2 linked regions of the Caenorhabditis elegans genome follow. The protein of the gene in region 1 purifies or fractionates together with the protein of each later gene. This does not show direct contact. Each region holds a gene or a part of one and is shown on either strand. Other genes may lie near its edges. The genes, in order: taf-7.2 and F32D8.2.

Region 1 (5,270 bases):
TGATTTTTTCTCTGAAATTCCGCCAATTTCTCATATTTTTTAATGCAAAATTAACCATTAAAAGCAATCGAATGAATCCAATCAGTGTGTCCAGCGACAGAAATCAGCCGAGAAAACGATTTTTTGTCTGCCGATTCTCCATATAACTCTACAAATCGTTTTGAAGTTCCGACTGCTAAGAGTACAGAATTTTGAATGGAAATAGCGTCTAGGCAGAGCGCAAATGCTTTGTGATCCAATTTAATTTCAGTGGAATTTAGAAGATCTCCAATTGAAGATGTCCACCATGCGTGAAAGCCGTTTGACGTCTCGGATACCTGAAAAAAAAAAATAAATTTTAGATATAGAATTGAATATAAAATTGCAAAAATTGCATCGCACAGAAAAAGAGGCGGAGCCTAATTTTGCAACCTTGCGGCACGGTTTTTCTTGATTTTTGTGAATTTTTTTCGATAAAATTTCGATTTTTCTCTTTTTTTTTGAATTTTTTAAAGTTGAAAATTTAAAAAAAAAAATTATGATTTTAATTCAAAAAACTAGATTTTTAATTGCAAAACGCAGGGCCGCACAGAAAAAGAGGCGGAGCCTAGCAACCCTGCGGCACGGTTTTTCCTGATTTTTTGTGGTTTTTTTTCGGCTGAAAATTTTTGATTTTTCGAAAGAAAAACTCAAATTTCGGCCATTTTTGTTATTTTTTGGAAGAAAATTTTTTTTTTCTTCAATTTTTCGATATTTTCAAAAAAATCGATTTTTAATTGCAAAAAAAACAGCGCCGCACAGAAAAAGAGGCGGAGCGCAATTTTGCAACTCTGTGGCACGCTTTTTCCTGATTTTTTTGAGCTTGGATTTTTATTTTTTTCGAAATAAAACACTTGGGATTTGGCCATTTTTGTCATTTTTAAAGACAATTTTGTGTTTTCTCTGTTTTTTTTGTTGTTTTTTTTCTTCAAATCTACAAAAAATCATGAAAAACCAAGCCGAATGGAGATGCGACGCCGCTGCTTTTTTTGCAATTCTGAAACGAACCCAAGCAGCGGCTACAACTTTCCGTCCATCTTCAACACATCCGCACACACTTCCGACACTTCCATCGCAACCTGTCAGATCTGCGACGTATTCCACGTGTTCTCCACGTAGTTTCCATAAAACTACACGAGAATCCACACCGCCAGTGACAAATTCATCGGCGACGATTTCCGAAGATTTTAGTCTTTTCAGCACGGTGATCGGTTTTTGATGACGACGCTCCGAGGTGCTCTTGATAACACCGACTTCTGAGTCATCCTGTAATTTATTTGAAGTTTAAATGATAAAATTCATCTCGATTTTCACTTTTGGAATTGTTTGAACTGCGATTTGAAGTGACGAGGCATAGGCGACAAGTGGGGCGGTTTTGCAGGCGGTCAGGCAGTGCGACCGTGGGTTTACACTAGCAGAGATAAATTCTTCTTCGATTTTCATTGATTTTCTGGAAAAAAATGGTGAAAATCTCGTGAAAAAACTCAAAAAAAAACGTTTAAAATTGCTGAAAAAAAAAAAAAAAAAAAAAACTTGCCTGGCCGAGTCGGGGTCTCGGCCACCACGCCGTGTACTCCTCTAGGACAAACAGGACAAACAATTCTTTTTTTTTAATTTTCAGTTTTTCTTCCCGATTTTTTATGTTTTTCTTTGCATTTTTAAGGAAAAAATCTAAAAATTTTCATAAAAATTGTAAAAATTGCAGTTCACAATGTCAATTTATCCGGGAGTGCGGCCGCCGATGAAGAGAGGACCGAAAGTGAGCAATTACACCGTTTTTCAGCTTTTTTAACAAAAAAGTTACTTTTTTGTAAAGTTTACAAATAATGCATATTTTTTTCGATCTAAAAATTCATATTTTTCCCGTGAAAAAACACATTTTAAAGGCGAAAAACATTTTTTTTTTGCTTTAAATTACCTAAAACACCGTTTGACAATTTTTCAGGTTTTTTTTCGCAAAAAAATGTGCATTTATACGAAATTATCGATTTTAAGCCAATTTTGAACCGGAAAAATTCGGAAAAATTGACAGAACAACGGAGAAACGTTGATGAAAAAATATTTTGAAAATCGAGAAAAAATCGTAAAAAATTTCGGAATATAAAAAAAAAATTTTCGGTCATTAGGGTCTATTTTCTATCATTTAAAAATGGAGTACCGCCAGTAGGGAAATTGCTTTAAAACATGCCTATTATACCACAATGACCGAATATCATAGTAAAAAAATTCAAAAAAAATTTCTAATTTTATATCCTTTTTTGAAAATTGAAAAAAAACAGTTTTCACCTAATTATTTTTAAATTTCCGCCAATTGAACTCGTTCGTTGGAGCGTGCTTGCACGTATTTAAATGTATTTTTTTTGTTTTTTGTTATTTTCCACCGATTTTTAATGTTTTCGGTGTATTTTTGCTCGAATTTTAGAGAAAAAGTCAAAATAAATGCAAATTTTCGATTAAAAAGCACGCTGACAGACGTAAATCAGTGAAATTAATTAATTCAGGCTCGAAATCGTTGAAAGCGTTACTTTTTCATTTTTACGCCTGTAAGCGAGCTTTTTAATCGAAAATTTGCATTTATTTTGACTTTTTCTCTAAAATTCAAGCAAAAATACACTGAAAACAAAAAAAATTAAAAATCGGTGGAAAATAACAAAAAAATAAAATAAATAAATTTAAAAACGTGCAATTGCGCTCCATCGAACAAATCCAATTGGCGGTAATTCAAATAGGAATTAGGCAAAAACTGAGATTTTTTCAATTTTCAAAAAATCATATAAAATTTAGAAAAATTTTTTGAATTTTTTTATCATGATATTTGGTCATTGTGGTACCACAGGCATGTTTTAAAGTAATTTCCCCACTGGCGCTACTCCACCTTTAGGGCAAAAAAATGTGTTTTTTTTCCAAAAAAATAGAAATTTTTCAGCCACAATCATTCTTCGACGACACACCAGTAGCATCTTCCGACGATCCACCAGACTTCGAAAGTCACATTGTACTACGTGTACCTGAAGATTGTGTGGGTAGAATCGAGAAAATCATTCAATCGGACGGAAAACACGAGGAATTCTCGTTAAATTTGAATTCAGACGCTCGAAATTCCACAGTCAGAATCGGAAATCAACTGTTAAATGGAAAAATCCTGGATCTTCCCACTATAACAGAAATCCACAAGACATTAGACAACAAAAGCCTGTATAAAGTCGCAGATGTCTCACAGATCCTTGTCTGCACCCATGATTCCATCAATTCAATAGCTTCAAGCTCTGAAGATGCTGCTCAGAAAGCAGCAGCGGCAAAGGCAAAACAATGGCAATACCCGCACGGACTGACGCCTCCCATGAAATCGGCGAGGAAGAAGCGATTTCGAAAGACTAAGAAGAAAAAGTTTATGGATGCTCCAGAGGTTGAGAAGGAGCTCAAGAGACTGCTCCGTGCAGATTTGGAAGCGGATAGTGTGAAATGGGAAATTGTGGAAGGGAATAAGGAAGGTGCGACGGATGAAGTAAGGACGCAGCGGCATGTCACTTATCCATCAAGTAGTGAAGATGAATCTGATGTTGGAGATGATGATGATAAGGATGATTAAATTTCTTAAGATGATAATTTTATTTCGCTGTTTTTTATTACGGCAACACAAAATTCTGAGAATGCGTACTGCACAACATATTTGACGCGCGCAAAATATAACTATATCTCGCAGCGAAAACGATTTACAGCAAAGTTCCATTATTTTTTTTGCCATTTTTTGTTTAATTTTAATATTCTATATATCGATGAATAAATTTTTTTTTTTCGTTCTAAAAAAATTGGAAAATTGAAAAAAAAAAAAAGTTTCTGAAAAAAGTGGCAAATATTTGTTCTAAATATTCAAAAAAAGATTTTTCTATTTTACAAAAAATAAATTTCAAATATTTAATGATTTTTTCTGGGTATTTTTTTTTCAAATTTTTAAGAAAATGACTTTGAAATGACTTTTCTTAAAATTCTGAAAAAAAATACCCAGAAAAAATCATTAAATATTTGAAATTTTTTTTTGTAAAATAGAAAAATCTTTTTTTGAATATTTAGAACAAATATTTGCCACTTTTTTCGGAAAATAATTTTTTTCAATTTTCCAATTTTTTTAGAACGAAAAAAAAACATTTATTCATCGATATATAGAATATTAAAATTGAACAAAAAATGGAAAAAAAATAATACTGAAAAACGAATGAAAATGGAACTTCGCTGTAAATCGTTTTCGCTGCGAGATATAGTTATATTTTGCGCGTCAAATATGTTGTGCAATACGCATTCTCTGAATTTTGTGCTCCCGTAATTTTTTTATTTATTTATTGAACAAGACAAACAAAAAGAAAAAGAAACAACAATTTCATGCATTGTTGGGTTTCTACAATCTCTAAAAAGTTATCGTTTTTTTCGAAAACTATACTTTTTCTCATTTCTTCTTTGAAAGTCGACGCCTAGTTGGTTTCTGCTCATCCAATTCATTTTAAATGATATCCTGCTTCTCACCTAAATGGCAAAGCTCCCTTACAAAGTGCACGTCCATTTTCTGTATAGTTGTTTTTAAAAAAACCAGAGAAATTATTTTTAAGCGCAAAAATTTACGATTTTTTCATAAGAAATGCGTCACGTGGTGTCAGAATGTCGCATATCGGTTTGATCTCCGAAAGTCGCGGGAATTTCGACGCAGACTTCACAATTTTCTGTATAAAAAATTCCCGCATTTTTCGTAGATCGAGCTGAGACGAAATTGTGGTTTTTTTTCCTTCTTTTTAAAAGACAATTCTATTACGGGATCACAAAATTCCGAGAATGCGTATTACGAAATATATTTGACGCGCAAAATATCTCGTAGCGACAACTACAGTAATCCTTTAAATAGGACTACTGTAGCCCGTAAATCGACACTAGCAATACAGTAGTCACTGTTTTCGCTACGAGATATTTTGCGCGTCAAATACGATGCGCGTTTTCTTATGTTTTTTTCTCATCAAATTTGATAACAAAATTTGGAAAAATATAGATTTTTTATTATCTTCAGAAAAATCTAAAAATATAAATTTAAATATATTTGTGTGTGTTTTTTTTTTGCAATTTCTCAGGTTTTCATTTGATAAAATTGAAAAATTTACTAACAAAACTACTAACAATTACTCGGATTACTGCTGAAAAATTGAAAATCTAATTTTTATATTTTCCCCTCAGAAACGGGGTCTCGCCACGGCAAATTTTCAAGAGGGGGT
Region 2 (4,978 bases), on another chromosome or scaffold:
GGCAAGGTGCGAATATGAATCGGAAAGGAATACGATATTATTAATTTGATGATGATGGGCAATTCCGATAAAAGCTATAAAAATCTAGAGGAACGGCCTTCAAACATTCAAACATGGCTTCACTCTACAGAAGTAGCCACTGTTTCAGTCCGTCTTTAATAGTCTCGAGGAAATTCAGATCTCGAAAAATAGTACAGTAAGGTGAGACCTGCATCTAGATATTATTACAAGGTTTTGTATGTCTCAGTAGACAAAAAAAAGAGAGAAGAAACAGTGAAACAATGTTCAGAGACGCAGACGGAAGCCGTTTGTGGAACCGAACTGAAGAAGAAAGTGAGTGAAAAACGTGACGAACGAGACGGGCTGGGGATTCGGACAAAAGGTGGTCATCTGTACAGAACTAATTGATATGGAAACAATCACAGAACACAGAGGAACATGGTGATGTAATGGAATTTGATAAGGATTGAGGGGAAAAGCTGATGAAAAGGGCGTAAAATCGAATAAAAAGGAGAATGGAAAGCGAGGGAAAAACTAGGAAGGACGAAAGAAATGAGGTGAAACGGGGGATGAAAATTCGTTGTTTATGTGGGTCAGTTTTGGAAAAAAAACAATATGCTTAAAATCAATTTCATATATAATTTGAAAAATAATAAGAACAAACTATATAGTGAGATATGTGACATTCTGAAATTTGGAATCTCGTATTAATCTTTGCCAGTGCCTGTGAGATTGTTGTTTTACAAATCACACATGCTGAAAACAGATTAATAAATAAACAATTTCCACCGGAAATCCCTACCTTGCAATACCAATGTTAACTTCATAACCGACAACAACCCTTGCTGTATCGAAACTATTAAATGAAGCAAACTCCGGTTTGAAGGTGAACATCTTTTTCAGCAAAAGGGTTTTCTGGAAAAAAAAACAAATTAGTTGCAACAAAAAAAGATAAAATTAATTGAACTTACCTTACCCCTTGAACTGATAATATTCACAAATCCGGTCAATTCTACGCCACGTACTTCCTTACTTCTGAACAACAGTTTATCTAATTGTAGAGAAATACAAATAAAATAACGCACGTTCCAATTGAGTATTCATAAAAAATTTTATAATCTTCAAGTTCAAACGAACGAACACATTTGTGTGTTTTCACTTCTTGTGTAAATCTTGTTCGCAATGTTTGAAGGAAGTTTTTTTCGCCTTTTTCAGGATACCCAGAGGATGTACTCTAAACATTGAAAGTATAATTATATTTTTCTCCGACTTTCAAAGAAATTACCATATTCATGCATAAACATATATTTTCTGATATTCCTTCAGACGTACAGTTCCTTGATGTTGGTTGAGCTATGAAGACAGATTTTGAAGATTTTTCTTTCGGATTGATTAATTCAACAAGCATTTGATTGAAATTAGTAGAAGACAATAACCTAAACTCAGATATTCTTTTTAAATATAATTTTTAGACCTAACCTGTTGAAATTCATATTCATGAAATATAGTTTCTGATTATTATTTTCTATGAATTGGTTGGATGGACGAAAAGCAAACATTGGATATTTGTCGTTTTCGTTTTCAATATCTCTGCAAATTGTTCAAATTAACATGTAATGTAAATAAGAATCTCACTTTGTTGATAAGTCGTACGAAGTGATGATTAGTGTAGTGTTCTCGAAAATGTTTGATTCCTTTAATAGATCCAACATTTTTCTGAAAAAAGGTCCGTTTTTTTCCTCAAAAACTTTTATAATACTTCAAATCTTGATCAATTGATTGTCTACGATATTCATCATATTCATCAATAAACATTGCTGAAAACACCTTGGAATCTGCTGTTGATGTCAGAAATGCTCCGATTTTTTCCAATTGATCATTTACTAATTTCTAGAAAAATTGTGATATAAACTTTTTTTGAAATATAAAACTTACTTTTCCATTTTTCAAACATAAGTTTCCATCAATTAAGAATTGTGTTATGAAATTCTGATGATCCAAAGTATCATAATCTACATCAATCATATATCTGATTTGTTGTGGACCAGAGAAAAAAGTTGTAAAATTATTTTGCTTTGCTTTTCTGAACATATTAATTTTATTTGAAATTCCAAGTTGTAGTAACAAATCTTGCATTGAATTTGGTTCATTCTGAATATTAGCGATATTGATAATTACAAAATCGAGTAACATCTTACTTTGCTCATAAATTGTGCAAATCTGAACTGGTTGTCTTGCATGAAATGCTTACTCAACGGCATTTTCTTCATAAATAGTTTGTGATTTATTGCTGGAAGAAATATTATGGCAATTGATCCCCCGTTTGATTTCTAAAATGGTGTTGAATTTTAGATTCTATTGTTAACTCATCTTACTTTTGGAATTGATGCAAAATTCACAAAGGGTTTCAGAAATTCAACAATACCGTTTCTTTCGCAAGCAAAAGCAAAATTGTAGAATGGAACTTTAACGGGCACATTTTTTTCAACCTGATGTTTATGATTATTAAAGATTTAATTTTAACTTTCATACCTTAATTGGGTGCTCATTTGGCCCACTATTTTTGTAAAAGGTGCATCTGAAGTTATATGTTGAGTTATTGACTTATTGAAGACAAAAAATTAAATAGTTCAAACCTTATATCAGAGGGTAAATCATTTGTATTTTTTGATCGAAGTGTCAAATATCCGTCAGATGATAAGTCAACCTTTTCATTCAGTTCATTTATTTTGCATTCGCCTCTTGAAATGTTATTCATTGGATTTTCTGCATAATTCAATTTTCCTCACCTCACAATATGTTGTTTCGATTTGTCCGGTGTAAGTCCAAAAACGTCCTCATCTTCATTCGGAAAGAAAATATATGGAAGTTTACAAACATTGGTCAGTAATTCTCTGGTTTCTGAAAATCAGACTGCAGGAAAATTAATCAAAAACATCACATACCTACCAAGGAATAAACAAACTCTGGTTTATACTTGATTCCACCATCCTTATCAAATTCTTTAATCTCGATTGAAAAATGACTCATTATCACCGAAAATATTAAAAGAAAAAAGCAAAGAAACATTAAAATCATGCTACTTGGAAGAATACTTTGGTGTTTTCTTAGATTGAACGACATTGTTAAATGGCTTTTGTGGTGTGAATGAACAAATGAATGTACATAAGAGACGGGGATGCTTAATGCCGGAACCAGTTCATGTAACAAATGAATACCAGATATGGTCAGTTGATTATATGTTACAACTTGGTATTTATAAAGAGGAAAGTTGTTAAAAATATATAATTTTGACGTGAAAAGTGCATCGAAACTGTCTTTTGGATAACCATCAGTCACGGGCTTTCACCATCTTTCATCGGAAATAGTTCAATCTTTCAGCCGCTCACACTGCGAAAAAAGTAGAAATTGTTTGCGTTTATCAATTTTAATATACTTTTATGTATCTGTTTTTTAATAGGAGCACGTTTTTTTATCTTGAAGAGATTTTGAAAACTTATAAATTTAACTGTACATTTTATTTATTCAAATCAATATGCAAGAAAAGGAAAGACATTGGCACCGGGCAATACTTATAAATTTTCTTCATTCATTCATCATCAATATTTTCCATGGTGTATGGAGCAATCCATGGATGAGCCATTATTTGGGATGCAAGTGGTCGGCGTTCTTCAGTTTTATTCATCAAGCGAGATACCAAATCTTTAGCCTCTGAAAATTTGCTCCTTTTTCTATGAATAATTTTTTTTCTAGAGATTCAGTTTCAGTCAACTCACTCAATGAAATTCCTTTCCATTCTGGCATATCCAGATTTGGTTTAGCTTGCATTATAAGTTTGAATAATCTGGTTTGATCTGGTGCACGGAATGGAGCATATCCAACAAGCATAACATAAAGAACAACTCCAAGGGACCAAATATCACATCTTGTCGAATATCCGGTCTCCCGAAGAACTTCTGGTGCGCAATAGGTTGGGGTTCCACAGATACGGTACAGAGGTCCAAGAATGTGACATGCCAATCCAAAATCGCAAAGCTTCACACTAAATTTGTCAACGAGAAGAAGATTTTCAGGTTTGACATCTCTGTGAACCACATTTCTTTCGTGAAGATAATTGAGTGCAGATGCAACTTGGAGAGTTATGATAGCAGCATCTGGTTCCTCGATTCGACCATTTTTACGGATAGTTTCATATAAGTCCCCGTACTGAAAAAATCTTTTTTTTTCAAACTGTGTTGTCAAGTTTTGCACGTTATTGTTCAAAACTGGGAGTATCATTCACCTGTGCATGTTCGAAAACTATGAAGTATTGATTTTCAGTGCTAAAAGCATCGATAATCGATATGATGTGATCATGTTGAATGAGTGACAACATCTCCACCTCATTGTCCACAAAAAAGCATTTCCCTCGCATTGCTCTTTTCTCAACTTGCTGAAAAAACTTTGAAGGAAATGAAAATTGCAATGTTGACTGGTACCGAACCTTAAGCGCACATTTGGTGCCATCTTCCTTGCGTCGAGTTAAATGCACACTCGAGAAATTTCCTTTGCCAATAATAGCCCCAATCTCGTATTGCTTTTCAATGTCTTGACGCCCGTCAACACGTTGGATCCATTTGGAAACCTAAATAAAGAAATGAAAGTTGAATGAAGAAAGTGAGACGCTGAAAGATTCCATTAGTGACATGATCTGTTGCCTAACTATCCGGAATGTAGTATTTCCCTCATCCCAATTTCTTATGCATATTCTAACCTAAACCCAGAAGCGGTTTGTCCCTTGAACATACTACAAGTTATTGTTATGACGGATGTGCCGAGAAGGAAAATGGAACAAGGCCTTTGCGTTCAAAAAACATTTTCCAGAAGTGTTCGTTTGCTAAAAGTAAAATATTTGTTAAATAGGTCGCTAAAGTCAATGAGGTGGAACATTTCTTTCGTAGATCTTTGGCAGTAATTGCAGAAAGTAGACATGTTTTAT

The links.
Region 2: the proteins of taf-7.2 (region 1) and F32D8.2 purify together in Caenorhabditis elegans (affinity purification with mass spectrometry, with the first as the bait; one large-scale study listed by BioGRID). This does not show direct contact.

What each region holds. Positions count from the first base shown.
Region 1 is NC_003281.10:12,669,875-12,675,144, reverse strand, and holds taf-7.2 (TAFII55 protein conserved region domain-containing protein), read left to right. Parts: upstream 1-1,721; 5' UTR 1,722-1,729; coding exon 1,730-1,777; intron 1,778-2,944; coding exon 2,945-3,607; 3' UTR 3,608-4,456; downstream 4,457-5,270. Other genes in the region: elpc-2 (Elongator complex protein 2), read right to left, coding at 56-317, 1,027-1,284, 1,333-1,461.
Region 2 is NC_003283.11:10,881,923-10,886,900, reverse strand, and holds F32D8.2 (ATPase_AAA_core domain-containing protein), read right to left. Parts: upstream 3,124-4,978; coding exon 2,946-3,123; intron 2,902-2,945; coding exon 2,790-2,901; intron 2,742-2,789; coding exon 2,637-2,741; intron 2,579-2,636; coding exon 2,533-2,578; intron 2,490-2,532; coding exon 2,376-2,489; intron 2,331-2,375; coding exon 2,199-2,330; intron 2,152-2,198; coding exon 1,936-2,151; intron 1,891-1,935; coding exon 1,760-1,890; intron 1,717-1,759; coding exon 1,636-1,716; intron 1,591-1,635; coding exon 1,480-1,590; intron 1,437-1,479; coding exon 1,286-1,436; intron 1,235-1,285; coding exon 1,086-1,234; intron 1,036-1,085; coding exon 972-1,035; intron 916-971; coding exon 799-915; downstream 1-798. Other genes in the region: cat-6 (Protein kinase domain-containing protein), read right to left, coding at 3,590-3,711, 3,777-4,206, 4,283-4,432, 4,484-4,624.